Struthio camelus: one gene and its partner. The protein of the gene in region 1 purifies or fractionates together with the protein of each later gene. This does not show direct contact. Links are inferred from orthologs where the notes say so. Each region holds a gene or a part of one and is shown on either strand. Other genes may lie near its edges.

Region 1 (7,978 bases):
CCCTCCCTACACCCTGGGCACCCCCAATCCCCCCTCCCTGGCCACCCTCAATCCCCCCAGCACCCCCTAACTCCCTTCCCTACACCCCGGGTCCCCCAAATCCCCCCTGGCACCCCTTTGCCCCCAGCACCCACCGGGGCAGCGTGGTGCTGGCCTTCTCCCACGGCCTCCGGATGGGCTCTGCAGTGAGAGAGCAGGGGGTGAGGGGGAGGCAGAGCCCCCCCTTCAGGGGCGCAGCCACCCACCACCCTCCCCCCCCCCAAAAAAAACCCGTTCCTCTCTCGGGACTACAGCTCCCAGCAGGCTCTGCGCCGCGCCGCGGCGGCAGGGCATGCTGGGAGTCGTAGTTCCTCCGCACTCACCCGCGGACTGCCCCGCGGTCCTAGTGCTCGCTGGCTCCGCGTCGTCCTGTGGGGAGGGGCAAAAAAAGGGGTCACGGCGGGGTATTTACCGGGGGGGGGGGGGCGGGTAGCCAGGTTGGAGGGGGGGGACAAGGGGATCCGCACCAGCTGGGGACAATGGGATTAACTGGGAGAGAGAGAGAGAGAGGTGCCATCCCCCCCCCCCCCCCAAAATACCAGATGGGGGCAACAGGGAGCCCCCAGGAGAGGAGCAATACTCAGCGGGGGGGGGGGGGGGGGCAATGGGGCAGCGCAGGGATGGGGGGGCACCCCCAAAGCAGTATTTCGGCAAGGGGGGGCACTCACGCTGCCGGCGTCCTCGTCCCTCTTTGGCGCTGGCTTGTCCCCCTGCAGCGTGGCCTTTCTCCTGGGGGGGGGGGGGAGGTCAGCGCAGTGTCCCCCCCCCCAAACCTGCGTCACCGCCCCCCCCACAATGCGGCACCCCCTCACCGTCGGGCCAGCATGGCGCTCATCTCCTCCATGAGGCCCCCCCCGCCTCCCCCGCGGGTGCCATCGCCCTTGGGTGCTGCTGCCGCCACCGCCGGGCCGGGCGCCTCATCCTGCTGGGGGGAAACGGGGTGAGCGCGACCCCCCCCCCGGATTTGTTCCCCCTCCCGGGGCTGCAATCATCCCTGGGAATTGCCCCCAAAATGGGTATTACCCCCCTGCAGGGCTGCCCCTCCTCCCCCCCATAGGAACTGCCCCCAAACCAGGTATTACCCCCCAGGGGCTGCCCCCCCCATGGGAACTGTCCCCAAAACAGGTATTACCCTCCTGGGGCTGCCCCCCCCGTGGGAACTGCCCCCAAAATGGGTATTACCCCCCTGCAGGGCTGCCCCCCCCGTGGGAACTGCCCCCAAAATGGGTATTATCCCCCTGCAGGGCTGCCCCCCCCCATGGGAACTACCCCCAAAACAGGTATTACCCCCCAGGGGCTGCCCCCCCCCGTGGGAACTGCCCCCAAAACGGTATTACCCCCCACCGCAGAGCTCCCCCCCCATTTTGCCCCCCCAGGGGTAATTCCCCCCCCCCCCCCCGGTACCTTGCCGACTTTCCTGAGTTTGGCCCCCGCGATGGCGGCGGCGAAGCCGGAGCCCCCCCCGGACGCCCCCCCGGGGGCACCCGCGGGCCCGGGCAGGGGTGGTGCCGGCGGGACCCCGGCGGCAGCTGGGGGGGGTCCGGGAGGCGGGGGGGGCCCCGGGGGTCCCGGGGGTGGTGGGGGGCCGGGGGGCGGCGGAGGCCCCCCCGCAGGCAGGGCCGGGGCACCTGTGGGGGGAGAGTGGCTCATGGGGGGGCACCCACGCTGGCCCCCCTCTCCCCGTGGGGGGTTTTTTGGGTGGGGGGGTGGGCTCATGTCACCCCCCTCCCCGGCACCCACCTGCGCCGGCCACGCGCCGCTCCAGCTCCTCCGGCGCCGGCCTGCGGGGAGAGGGGTCAGCACCCGTGCCCCCCCCCGGGGTGCCCTGACCCCCAAGTCAGCACCCATGGATGTCCCTGGGGCACCCTGACTCCCAAGTCGGCACCCGCGGCCCCCCCAGGGCACCCTGACCCCCAACTCAGCACCCACAGACCCCCCTGGAGTACCCTGACCCCGAAGTCAGCACCCGCGCCCCCCCTGGGGTGCCCTGACCCCCAAGTCAGCACCCGTGGCCCCCCCGGGGATGCCCTGACCCCCAACTCAGCACCCACGGACCCCTCCGGGGGTGCCCTGACCCCCAACTCAGCACCTGTGGCCCCCCCCGGGGCACCCTGACCCCCAAGTCAGCACCCATGCACCCCCCTGGGGCACCCTGACCCCCAGGCCAGCACCTGTGGTCCCCCAGGGGCACCCTGACCCCCAACTCAGCACCCACAGATCCCCCCGGGGCACCCTGACCCCCAGGCCAGCACCCGCGCCCCTCCAGGGCATGTTGACCCCCAAGTCAGCACCCACAGACCCCCCCACAGCCACTGTGTCCCCCAAGTCAGCCCCCCCCACATGCAGGGGGTCTCGGGGGGGGGAATGAGCACCCCAGGGTGCCCTTGGGGGGCTCCTACCTCCGCTGCTGCTCCGGCTCCTCCAGCGACGGGCCGTTGGGGACGGGCCAGGGCTGAGCGGGGGCTGGCGGGGGGGGACGAGAGCTCAGAGCAGCACCCGGGGACGTCCCCAGGCTGGGGGGACGTCACAGTGGGCCACCCCCGGGTGTCACCTCATCCGTGCTCACCCACCTCCAGGGTGGCAGCGAGGAGCCTGGTGTCCTCGCACAACCCAAAGCTGAGACCCCCCCCACCCCCCAACCTGAGGGATGCCACCCCACGGTGTCACCTCCCTGGTGTCCCCACGTCCCCGCTCACCGGCCTCCAGCACCTCCAGGGCCTGGAGCATGGCGGTGGCGAAGAGGGTGGCGTCCTCGCGCGACCCGAAGCTCAGTCCCCAGCCCTGGGGGACGTCACCCCGTGCCACCACCTCCCTGGTGTCCCCACATCCCCGCTCACCGGCCTCCAGCACCTCCAGGGCCTGGAGCATGGCGGTGGCGAAGAGGGTGGCGTCCTCGCGCGACCCGAAGCTCAGTCCCCAGCCCTGGGGGACGTCACCCCGTGCCACCACCTCCCTGGTGTCCCCACGTCCCCGCTCACCGGCCTCCAGCACCTCCAGGGCCTGGAGCATGGCGGTGGCGAAGAGGGTGGCGTCCTCACGCGACCCGAAGCTCAGTCCCCAGCCCTGGGGGACGTCACCCCGTGCCACCACCTCCCTGGTGTCCCCACGTCCCCGCTCACCAGCCTCCAGCACCTCCAGGGCCTGGAGGGTGGCGTCCTCGCGCGACCCAAAGCTCAGTGCCCAACCCTGGGGGACGTCACCCCGTGCCACCACCTCCCTGGTGTCCCCACGTCCCCGCTCACCGGCCTCCAGCACCTCCAGGGCCTGGAGCATGGCGGTGGCGAAGAGGGTGGCGTCCTTGCGTGACCCGAAGCTCAGTGCCCAGCCCTGGGGGACGTCACCCCGTGCCACCACCTCCCTGGTGTCCCCACGTCCCCGCTCACCGGCCTCCAGCACCTCCAGGGCCTGGAGCATGGCGGTGGCGAAGAGGGTGGCGTCCTTGCGCGACCCGAAGCTCAGTCCCCAACCCTGGGGGACGTCACCCCGTGCCACCACCTCCCTGGTGTCCCCACGTCCCCGCTCACCGGCCTCCAGCACCTCCAGGGCCTGGAGCATGGCGGTGGCGAAGAGGGTGGCGTCCTCGCGCGACCCGAAGCTCAGTCCCCAGACCTGGCGGGCATCCCGCCACTGGTGGAAGCTCGGCGTCGCCTGGTTGTACTTGAGACCCTTGGCGATGGCGCAGTTGATGACCACCTTCGGGGGGGACACCGAGGTCACTCGATACCCAGGTCCCCCCCCCCCCAAGCTCTGACCCCCAAGCTGGGGACCCCACAGACAGTGTCCCCAGCCCCCCAGTCCCAACAGTCCTCCCAGTGTCCCCAAGCCCTAGGGGTGTCCAGAGCGTCCCCACCCTCTCAGTCCCAGCAGTGTCCCCGGTGTCCCCAGCCAACCCTGGCCCTGGTGTTCCCCCCAGTGTCCCCAGCCCTGGCAGTGTCCCTGGTGTCCCCACCCTCCCAGTCCCCGTGGTGTCCCCAGCCACCCCTTGCGGTCCCTCCAGTGTCCCCAGCCCCAGTGGTCCCCCCAGCATCCCCAGGCCCTGGGGGTGTCCCCAAACCCCCCGATGGTCCCTGTGGTGTCCCCAGCCCCAGCGGTCCCCCCGGTCCCCAGCCCCCTAGCAGTCCCCACCTCCCCAGCGGTCCCCATGGCATCCCCAGCCCCCCAGCGGTCCCCCCGGCAGTCCCCCCGCTCCCCAGCCCCCCGGCGGTCCCCCAGTGTCCCCAGCCTCCTAGCAGTCCCCCAGTGTTCCCAGCCCCCCCCCAGTGTCCCCAGCCCCCCAGCAGTCCCCCAGTGTTCCCAGCCCCCCTGGTGTCCCCAGGCCCCCGGCAGTCCCCCAGTGTTCCCAGCCCCCCCAGTGTCCCAGGGTTCCCAGCCCCCCCGATGTCCCCAGCCCCCCAACAGTCCCCCAGTGTTCCCAGCCCCCCTGGTGTCCCCAGGCCCCCGGCAGTCCCCCAGTGTTCCCAGCCCCCCCAGTGTCCCAGGGTTCCCAGCCCCCCACGATGTCCCCAGCCCCCAACAGTCCCCCAGTGTTCCCAGCCCCCCCGATGTCCCCAGCCCCCCAGCAGTCCCCCAGTGTTCCCAGCCCCCCCCGATGTTCCCAGCCCCCTAACAGTCCCCCAGGGTTCCCAGCCTCCCCGGTGTCCCCAGCCCCCCTGATGTCCCCAGCCCCCCGGCGGTCCCCCAGTGTCCCCAGCCCCCCCCGATGTCCCCAGCCCCCCAGCAGTCCCCCCAGTGTTCCCAGCCCCCTGGTGTCCCCAGGCCCCCGGCAGTCCCCCCAGTGTCCCCAGCCCCCCCCCGATGTCCCCAGCCCCCCGGCGGTCCCCCCGGCCCCCCCCCCCCGGCGGTGGCACCTGCTGGTCGGGCTGCAGCTTGCGGCCGACGACGCGGAAGGCGGGGGGGGCGCCGCCGGCGCTGCGGTACAGCTGCACCCGGCTGGGGGCCTGGGGGCCGCCGCCCGCCGCCACCCACTTCTTGTTGGCGTCGTCGTAGAGCATCACCGTGGCCCGGGCGCTGCACACCACCGTCTCGCTGCGGGCGGCCGCCGGCCTCAGCGCCCCGGCACCCGCCCGGGGGGCGCCGGGTGCTCCCCCAGGCCGGGCGGGGGGCACCCATGGGGCGTGGGGCACCCCTAAAGCTGGGCAGGGGGCACCCACGGGGCGTGGGGTGTCCCCAAGGCTGGGCAGGGGGCACCCACGGGGTGTGGGGCACCCCTAAAGCTGGGCAGGGGGCACCCACGGGGCATGGGGTGTCCCCAAGGCTGGGCAAGGGGCACCCATGGGGCGTGGGGCACCCCCCAGGCCAGGCAGAGGGCACCTATGGGGCGTGAGGCACCTCTAAAGCTGGGCAGGGGGCACCCAGGGGGCGTGGGGTGTCCCCAAGGCTGGGCAGGGGGCACCCACGGGGCGTGGGGCACCCCTAAAGCTGGGCAGGGGGCACCCAGGGGGCGTGGGGTGTCCCCAAGGCTGGGCAGGGGGCACCCACGGGGCGTGGGGCACCCCTAAAGCTGGGCAGGGGGCACCCACGGGGCGTGGGGTGTCCCCAAGGCTGGGCAAGGGGCACCCATGGGGCGTGGGGCACCCCCCAGGCCGGGCAGAGGGCACCCATGGGGCGTGAGGCACCTCTAAAGCTGGGCAGGGGGCACCCACGGGGCATGGGGCATCCTCAAGGCTGGGCAAGGGGCACCCATGGGGCATGGGGTGTCCCCAAGGCTGGGCAAGGGGCACCCATGGGGTGCGGGGTGTCCCCCAGGCCGGGCAGGGGACACCCACAGGGCACAGGGCATCCTCAAGGCTGGGCAAGGGGCACCCACGGGGTGTGGGGCACCCCTAAAGCTGGGCAGGGGGCACCCACGGGGCGTGGGGTGTCCCCAAGGCTGGGCAGGGGGCACCCACGGGGTGTGGGGCACCCCTAAAGCTGGGCAGGGGGCACCCACGGGGCATGGGGTGTCCCCAAGGCTGGGCAAGGGGGCACCCACAGGGCGTGGGGCACCCCCCAGGCCAGGCAGAGGGCACCTATGGGGCGTGAGGCACCTCTAAAGCTGGGCAGGGGGCACCCACGGGGCGTGGGGCATCCTCAAGGCTGGGCAAGGGGCACCCCCCAGGCCAGGCAGGGGGCACCCATGGGGTGCGGGGTGTCCCCCAGGATGGGCAGGGGGCACCCACGGGGCACGGGGCATCCTCAAGGCTGGGCAAGGGGCACCCATGGGGCATCCCCAAGGCTGGGCAAGGGGCACCGATGAGGTGTGGGGTGTCCCCCAGGCCGGGCAGGGGGCACCCATGGGGCACGGGGCATCCTCAAGGCTGGGCAAGGGGCACCCACGGGGTGTGGGGCACCCCTAAAGCTGGGCAGGGGGCACCCACGGGGCATGGGGTGTCCCCAAGGCTGGGTAGGGGGCACCCACGGGGGGCCGAGTGTCCCCCCAGGCTGGGCAGGGTGCACCCACAAGGCTGGGCAGGGGGCACCCACGGGGCATGGGGCACCCCCCAGGCCAGGCAGGGGGCACCCACGGGGTGTGGGGCACCCCTAAAGCTGGGCAGGGGGCACCCACGAGGCATGGGGTGTCCCCAGGGCCGGCCAAGGGGTACCCATGGGGTGTGGGGCATCCTCAAGGCCAGGCATGGGGCAACTAGTGGGTGTGGGGCACCCCCAGGGCTGGGCAGGGGGCACCTACAGGGTGTGGAGCACCCCTAAAGCTGGGCAAGGGGCACCCCCAAGGCCAGGCATGGGGCACCCCTGGGTGTGGAGCATCCCCGGGACACGGGGCGACCCCAAGGCTGGCCATGGGGCACCCCTGGGACATGGGGCAACCCCCAAGGCTGACCATTGGGCACCCCTGGGTGTGGGGCACCCCAAAGTAGGCCATGGGGCACCCCAGGGACATGAGGACCCCCAAGGCTGGCCATGGGGCACCCCTGGGTGTGGGGCACCCCCAAAGCAGGCCATGCAGCACCCCTGGGACATGGGGACCCCCAAGGCTGGCCATGGGGCACCCCTGGGTGTGGAGCACCCCTGGGACACGGGGCGACCCCAAGGCTGGCCATGGGGCACCCCTGGGTGTGGGGCACCCCTGGGACATGGGGCGACCCCAAGGCTGGCCATGGGGCACCCCTGGGTGCTTCCCCCCCCCGCCAGGACAGGCACCCAAACCACAAGCACCCCCCATACTCCCCCCCACCCCACCCCTCCCCACTCCTTCCCCTTATCAGCAGGGGACCCAGGCGTCCGGGCCCTGCCCCCTTCCCCCCCTCCCCCATTTCCTCCGGGTGCGGAGAGGGCCCAGGCGTCCGAGCTGTGCCCCTCCCCCTTCCCGAGGGCAGGAGCTGGGACATCCGGGTTGGCGCAGGATGGGGTGGGGGGGGGGAACAAGTCACCGAAGTCTGTGACACCCCAGGGTGGGGGGGCCGCCAGGACGCCTGGGCCCCCCCCTCAAGGCCCCAGCGGGTGCCCCGGGTGCACCCTGGGGTGCTGGGGGGGGGGACACTGTGGGGCAGGAAGTATCGTGGGGCCGGGGGGGGGGGGGCCGCGCCGGCAGTGACCAAATAAGGGCAAGTTTGGTGCCGCCGCGCGGCCGGACCAGCACCCATGGGTGCCCCCCCCCAAAACACCGTGCTGGGCAGGGGGTTGTCCCCACCCGGACACCTGGGCCCCCCCAGGGTGGGCATCGGTGGGAGTTTCCCAGCATGCTTTGCTGCAGGATAGGGGTCGGGGGGTGCAGTAGCAGGCAGTGGGTGCCCCCTCCTGCACCCCCCCCCACCCCCCCCCACCGTGGGGCACCCGGGGCGGGAAGGGGAAGTTGAGGCCGGCGCGGGGGCAAAGAGCACCCAAGGGTGCTGCCGCCCGGCTGGCGCCTGTGGGGAAACCCGGGCAGCGAGGGGGGTGGTGGCACCCACGGGTGCCCCGAGGGGGGTGGGGAGGGCTGCCTGAGGACCCCACTCACCTGGTG
Region 2 (7,274 bases), on another chromosome or scaffold:
CTCACAACAGCTGGGGGGGCAGAGGGGCCCAGGCATCCGGGGGGGATGGGGAAGCGACCCAGGGACCCAGGCATCCGGGGACAGAGCAACAGGGAGCTGGGAGGGGGGAGGGGATGGGAAAGGGACCCAGGCGTCCAGGAGGAGCGAGCAGAGGGGAGGGGATCCAGCACCCAGCAGGGAGGATGGAGGGACCCAGGCGTCCGGGGCAGGTGCGGGGGTGACCCAGGGGCAGCACAGAGGGGCCCAAGCGTTCGGGCATGGTGTGGAGCAGATGCGGAGGTAACGTGGGGTTGGCGTGAGGGGCCCAGGTGCCCGGGGCGGGTGCAGAGCGCACACGGGGGCGGCGTGAGGGGCCCAGGTGTCCAGGGTGGGCGCAGAGCGGACACGGGGGCGGCGCGAGGGGCCCAGGTGCCCGGGGCGGGTGCAGAGCGGACACGGGGTTGGCGTGAGGGGCCCAGGTGTCCAGGGTGGGCGCAGAGCGCACACAGGGGGGACGTGGGGGTGGCACGAGGGGCCCAGGTGCCCGGGGCGGGCGCAGAGCGCACACAGGGGGGACGTGGGGGTGACACGAGGGGCCCAGGTGCCCGGGGCGGGCGCAGAGCGCACACGGGGGGGACGCGAGGGGCCCGGGCGGACACTCACTCTTGTTGGTGACGGTGGCGGTGATGTTGAAGGTGGGGGCGCCGGCGGCGCTCTTGGTGCGCAGGTCCATGCTGTGCTCGCCCTCCACCAGCAGCGAGTCGCGGATGACGGAGCACTTCTGCCCGCCCAGCGTCAGCCCGTTCACCAGCAGGCTGCTCCGGTCCTTCCCCACCAGCGCGTTCACCTCCGCCGCCTGCCGGGCCACGACCCCCGCCGTCAGGGACCCAGGTGTCCGGGCGGGGGGGCGTGGCCCGCCCTGACACCCCCCCGGGGACCCAGGCGTCCGGGGCAGCACCGTGAGCCGCCCTGACACCCCCCCGGGGACCCAGGCGTCCGGGGCAGCACCGTGAGCCCGCCCTGACACCCCTCTGGGGACCCAGGCGTCCGGGGCAGCACCATGAGCCCGCCCTGACACCCCCCCGGGGACCCAGGCGTCCGGGGCAGCACCGTGAGCCGCCCTGACACCCCTCCTTGGGACCCAGGCGTCCGGGGCAGCACCATGAGCCTGCCCTGACACCCCTCCTCGGGACCCAGGCGTCCGGGGCAGCACCGTGAGCCACCCTGACACCCCTCCTCGGGACCCAGGCGTCCGGGGCAGCACCGTGAGCCGCCCTGACACCCCCCCGGGGACCCAGGCGTCCGGGGCAGCACCGTGAGCCACCCTGACACCCCTCCTCAGGACCCAGGCGTCCGGGGCAGCACCGTGAGCCCGCCCTGACACCCCTCCTCGGGACCCAGGCGTCCGGGGCAGCACCGTGAGCCGCCCTGACACCCCCCCGGGGACCCAGGCGTCCGGGGCAGCACCGTGAGCCCGCCCTGACACCCCTCCTCGGGACCCAGGCGTCCGGGGCAGCACCGTGAGCCTGCCCTGACACCCCTCTGGGGACCCAGGCGTCCGGGGCAGCACCATGAGCCCGCCCTGACACCCCTCCTCGGGACCCAGGTGTCCGGGGCAGCACCGTGAGCCCGCCCTGACACCCCCCCGGGGACCCAGGCGTCCGGGGCAGCACCGTGAGCCACCCTGACACCCCTCCTCGGGACCCAGGCGTCCGGGGCAGCACCGTGAGCCCGCCCTGACACCCCTCCTCGGGACCCAGGCGTCCGGGGCAGCACCGTGAGCCGCCCTGACACCCCCCCGGGGACCCAGGCGTCCGGGGCAGCACCGTGAGCCCGCCCTGACACCCCTCCTCGGGACCCAGGCGTCCGGGGCAGCACCGTGAGCCGCCCTGACACCCCTCCTCGGGACCCAGGCGTCCGGGGCAGCACCGTGAGCCGCCCTGACACCCCCCCGGGGACCCAGGCGTCCGGGGCGCCCAAGAGCCCAGACCAGCACCAGCTCCTCCAGGGACCCAGGCGTCCGGGCGCCCGCCCCGGCACCCTCCACAGGCAGGACCCAGGCGTCCGGGGCATCCCCAGCCGCGCCGGCCCAGGCGTCCCGGACCCCACCCAACGCCCTGCCGGGGGCCCAGGCGTCCGGGAGCTCCCTCAGCCTCCGCCAGGGGCCCAGGCGCCCGGGCACCCCTCTGCCCGCCGCCCCGGGGGGCCCAGGCGCCCCCTCCCCTCCCCCACAGGAAGCCCCGGCCGCCCCTCCCCCGCCGGGGGGAAGTTGCCACATTCCGCGCATTTTTCTCAGCGGGGGGAGGGGGGAGACACCGGCGACCCCTCGGCGGGCGGGCAGAGGGCCCAGGCGTCCGGGCCCCCCCGCAGCCCCTCCGCCACGTGCTCGCCGCAGCCCGGACGCCGGGGCTCCTTCCCCAAACCGGGGGTGGCTGGGGAAGGGGAGGGGGTAAAGGGCGCCCGGGCCCCCCGCTGGAGCGGGGAAGGGGGGCGGCCCGGGCGCCTGGGCCCCCCCGCGCGGCCCGGCCGCCTGGGTCCCCTCCCCGGCGGCGGGGGGGGCCGGGCCACGCTGGCAGCGGCCGGGGCCGCTCCCGGACGCATTTTTCTCCCTTTTTTGTCCCGATTGGGGCCGGGGGGGGGAAGGGGATGGGATGGGGGGGATGGGCAGGATCCGGCCCCCCCTCCCCCCGGTCACTTCCTGCCGGCGGGGGGAGGGGCCGGGCCCGACCCCCGGCCCGGGGGGGCCGCGGCGCGGGCGGGCGGGGGGGGGGGCCGGACGCCTGGGCCGGCGGGGGGGCCCGGGGACACCCCGCGCCCCGGGACCGCCGCGGAATCGCCCCCAACGGCCGCCGCCCCCCCGCGGCGCCGCCGCCCGGGCCCCACCGTGATGTTGGCGAAGGTCTTGCCGGGGGTGGCGGCCCAGACGGCCGGCGTGTCCTTGTAGCCGACGATGGCGGCGTCCTGGCAGGTGCCGTCCGCCATGAGGCTCTCCACGTAGGGCGCCCACCCGCTCATGGCGGCGGCGGCGGCGGCGGCGGCGCGGGCCGGGCGGGCGGGGCGGGGCCGGCGGGGGCGGGGCCGGCGGCGGCGGCGGCGGCGCGTGCGCGGAGCGGGCGGCGGGCGCGAGACGGGGCCCCGCGGCGGGGCCGCGCGCCGCCTTTCATAGCCCCGCGCGGCGGGGGCGGGGCTTCCGCGGGGCGGGGCTCGCCCGCAGGGGGCGGGGCTCGCCCGCAGGGGGCGGGGCCGCCGCGGGACACGCCCCCCCCAGCCCGCCCGGCGGCGGCGGCGGCGGCGGCGGCAGAGCGACCCCGGGCAGCGGCGGGCGCTGGGCGACAGGCGCTGCCCCCCCCCCAGCACTGCCCCCCCCGGGCACTGCAACCCCCCCGGCACTGCAAACCCCCCCCCCCCCGCACTGCAACCCCCCCCGGGGCACTGCACTCCCCCCCCCCCCGGGCACTGCACTCCCCCCCCCCCCGGCGCTGCCCCCCCCCCCCCGGGCACTGCACACCCCCCCCCCCCAGCACTGCACCCACCCCCCCAGCACTGCAACCCCCCCCCCCGGGCACTGCACCCCCCCCCCCCCGGGCACTGCACAAGGGGCGCTGTATGACGGGTGCTGCACCTCAGACACTGCCCCCCCCCGACACTGCACCCCCCCCCCGGCACTGCATAATGGGCACTGCACCGCAGGCACTGCACAGCGGGTGCTGCACCCCCCCCCCGGGCACTGCACACCCAGCACTGCACCTGCTAGCGCTGCCCCCCCCAGCATTGCATCCATGTGCACTGCACACGCACAGCCCGGGTGTTGCATCCACCTGTGTTGCATCCCCGGGGCACCGTGCACGTGCACACACGTGTGCAGACACTGCGCACACACACACACACACGCACACACACACACGCACACACACACACGCGCACACACACGCGCACACACACACGCGCACACACACACGCGCACACACGCACACGCACACACAAGCGCACACGCACGCACAGATGTGCACCCCCCACCCCCCCCCGGGGATTGCACATGCAAACCAGTCAGTGCATCCCCGTGCACTGCATCCCTCCGGCGTCGCACACGCAACATCTGGGCACTGCAGCTCCCTCCCGCCCCCCCGCCCCCCTCGAGCGTTGCACGCACACGTGCGCACGCCCCCCCCCCCCCCAGCAGCCCCTCCGGGTGCGGCACCCTTGTGCTGTGTGCACCCGCGGGTGCATCGCACCCCCCGGCCTTGCAGCCGGGTGCGTTGCACCCTCCTCGTGCCGTGCAACCCGCGGGCATCACCGCGCCTTGCACGCCCCTGCACGTCGCCCCCCCCCTTGCACCCCTCCCCGGCCTCCGCACCCCCCTTTGCACGGCCCCTCCCTGCGGGTGACACCCCACGTTTCCTGCCGCCACGGCCCCCCCGGCGTCGCCCTCGGTGGCGCGTTGCACCTCTTCGCGGCCCCCTCCCCAGCTCCCTGCGCCGGGACCCCCGTGTCCGTGTCACACGCAGCCCCCCGGACATGCGTGTCCTCGTGCCAGCATGGAGCAACGCACAGGCCGTGCGGCGCCTCGGCCCCTGTGCGACACCCCCCCGGTGCAATGCAGCCCCCCGTGTGGTGCAGCCCCAGTGCAATGCAACCCCTGGTGCAACGCACCCAACTCCCGGTGCAACGCACCCCTCGTGCACTGCAACCCCTGGTGCAACGCACCCAACTCCCGGTGCAACGCACCCCTCGTGCACTGCAACCCCTGGTGCAATGCACCCAACTCCCGGTGCAACACACCCCTCGTGCACTGCAACCCCTGGTGCAACGCACCCAACTCCCGGTGCAACGCACCCCTCGTGCAATGCAACCCCTGGTGCAACGCACCCAACTCCCGGTGCAACGCACCCCTCGTGCAGTGCAACCCCTGGTGCAACGCACCCAACTCCCGGTGCAACGCACCCCTCGTGCAGTGCAACCCCTGGTGCAACGCACCCAACTCCCGGTGCAACGCACCCCTCGTGCACTGCAACCCCTGGTGCAACGCACCCAACTCCCGGTGCAACGCACCCCTCGTGCACTGCAACCCCTGGTGCAACGCACCCAATTCCCGGTGCAACGCACCCCTCGTGCACTGCAACCCCTGGTGCAACGCACCCAACTCCCGGTGCAACACACCCCTCGTGCAATGCAACCCCTGGTGCAACGCACCCAATTCCCGGTGCAACGCACCCCTCGTGCACTGCAACCCCTGGTGCAACACACCCAACTCCCGGTGCAACGCACCCCTCGTGCAATGCAACCCCTGGTGCAACGCACCCAACTCCCGGTGCAACGCACCCCTCGTGCAATGCAACCCCTGGTGCAACGCACCCAACTCCCGGTGCAACGCACCCCTCGTGCACTGCAACCCCTGGTGCAACGCACCCAACTCCCGGTGCAACGCACCCCTCGTGCACTGCAACCCCTGGTGCAACCCACCCCTCGCGCCATGAGCCCCCCAGCACAGCGCAACCCCAGAGCAAACCAACTCCTGGTGCAACGCCCCCCCCCGTGCGATGCCCCCCCGCCGCGCTCCCCGCCCCGTGCACACGCGTGTGCGATCGCACATGCATCGGCCCATATCTCCCGGCTGCTTTGAGTCAGCCCCGGGCGGGGACTTTCCGGGGGGGGGAGGGGGGGAGGGGCGGCGGTTTCACTTCCTGTCCCGGGCGGGGGAGGGGGCCGAGGCGCCGGCGCTGGGGGCAGGCGGCGTCCGGGGGACCCAGGCGTCCGGGCAGCGGGCCCTGGACCCCGCGCCTGCCTGGGGACCCAGGCGTCCGGGGGACCAGGGGGTCGGAGGCAGCCGGGCGCCTGCCCCTCCCCCCCGCTGCGAACTTCCCCCAGCAGTGTCGCCACCGCGGCCCCTCCCCCGCTCACGCCAACCCGGGGCATCATGGGAAATGGGGGGGGGGCAGGAAACCAGCTCGTCCTGGCCGAGGGACCCAGGCGTCCGGGGGCCCCTCTGCCCCCCCCCGGGGCCCAGACATCCGGGGCCCCCCCCGGGGCCCAGGCGTCCGGGGGCCCAGGCGTCCAGGGGCCCTGCCCCCCCCGGGGCCCAGGCGTCCGGGCCCGCCCCGCCCCCGCCCCGCTGTGGGAACTTCCCCGGGAAGTGGGTTTTTAGCAGCGAGCGGAGCCGGGGCCCCTCCCCCTCCCCCTGCCCTATGGGCTCCATAGGGCCCGACCCCCCCCCAACGTCCCCTATAGGCCCCACGGGGCCCATCTCCCCCCTCCCGTTTCCCCTATAGGGCCCCGGCCCCTATAGACCCCGCAGGGCCCCTCCCCTCCCCCCATCCCCTATGGATCCCATAGGACCGGTGCCATTCCCAGCACAGCCGCCAGGCGTCCCCCTCCCCCCCCCAGGGACCCAGGCGTCCGGGGGCTCCCCCCCCCCCCATCCTCCAGGGACCCAGGCGTCCGGGTGCTCCCCCCCCCCCATCCTCCAGGGACCCAGGTGTCCGGGCGCCCCCGTGCGGTGGGGCCCAGGAGTCGCCCAGGGACCCAGGCGTCCGGGCAGCCTCAACTCCAGGGGACCCAGGCGTCCGGGTACCCCCAGTCCCGGGGGGACCCAGGTGTCCGGGTGCCCCCAGCCCAAGGGGGACCCAGGCATCCGGGTGCTCCCCCCCCCACATCCTCCAGGGACCCAGGCGTCCGGGCAGCCTCGGGGGGACCCAGGCATCTGGCTGCTCCCAGCCCACGGGGGCCCAGGCGTCCGGGCGTCTCGAGTTACCGTGTCCTTTCCTCGAGCTCCGACCTTTGGGGGGGGCTAAAAATAGCCCGGGGGGGGCAGGGACCATCGCAAAGTGCCACCAGGGCCACCAGCGCCCGGACGCCTGGGCCCCCTGGGGGCTGCGAAGCCTGGTGGGGGAGGGGGGCAGCTGGGCCCCCCCGGACACCTGAACCCCCTGGGGGGGGCAGCGGGGCAGAGCGGGGGTCCCCGGACGCCTGGGCCCCCGGGGGGGCAGTCAGGCCTGGCGGGTGGGGCAGGGGCGAGCCCACCCGGACGCCTGGGCCCTGGACGCCTGGGTCCCGCGTTTGCAGATGGTCCCTGGGGGAGGCGGGGGCAGGGGATGGGCATAAAAGGCCCTCGGGGACCCCCCGGGGTCACTCGGAGCCCAACCAGCACCAGTGAGCAGCAGCGCCCGGACGCCTGGGTCCCTGTGGGGTGCCCGGACGCCTGGGACCCCCCGGATGCCTGGGACCCCTGGGGGTAGCGGGGTCTATAGTGCAGAGCGGGGCCACCCGGACGCCTGGGCCCCCCCCGGACGCCTGGGTGC

Evidence for each region.
Region 2: the proteins of vasodilator-stimulated phosphoprotein-like (region 1) and PFN1 purify together in Homo sapiens (affinity purification with western blotting; 3 studies listed by BioGRID and IntAct, with this or other methods). This does not show direct contact. The link is inferred for Struthio camelus from reciprocal best matches to the Homo sapiens genes VASP and PFN1.

The regions. Positions count from the first base shown.
Region 1 is NC_090957.1:1,486,687-1,494,664, reverse strand, and holds the start of vasodilator-stimulated phosphoprotein-like, read right to left. Parts: upstream 3,159-7,978; 5' UTR 3,103-3,158; coding exon of another isoform or gene 3,074-3,102; 5' UTR 3,049-3,073; coding exon 2,736-3,048; intron 2,503-2,735; coding exon 2,439-2,502; intron 1,821-2,438; coding exon 1,780-1,820; intron 1,668-1,779; coding exon 1,444-1,667; intron 965-1,443; coding exon 852-964; intron 769-851; coding exon 708-768; intron 409-707; coding exon 363-408; intron 181-362; coding exon 135-180; intron 1-134. Other genes in the region: homer protein homolog 3-like, read right to left, coding at 3,074-3,102, 3,159-3,732, 4,887-5,064. UniProt on the Homo sapiens protein: Ena/VASP proteins are actin-associated proteins involved in a range of processes dependent on cytoskeleton remodeling and cell polarity such as axon guidance, lamellipodial and filopodial dynamics, platelet activation and cell migration.
Region 2 is NW_027182728.1:91,374-98,647, reverse strand, and holds the start of PFN1 (profilin-1), read right to left. Parts: upstream 3,109-7,274; 5' UTR 2,995-3,108; coding exon 2,863-2,994; intron 836-2,862; coding exon 643-835; intron 1-642. Other genes in the region: ENO3 (beta-enolase), read left to right, coding at 7,068-7,125. UniProt on the Homo sapiens protein: Binds to actin and affects the structure of the cytoskeleton. At high concentrations, profilin prevents the polymerization of actin, whereas it enhances it at low concentrations. By binding to PIP2, it inhibits the formation of IP3 and DG.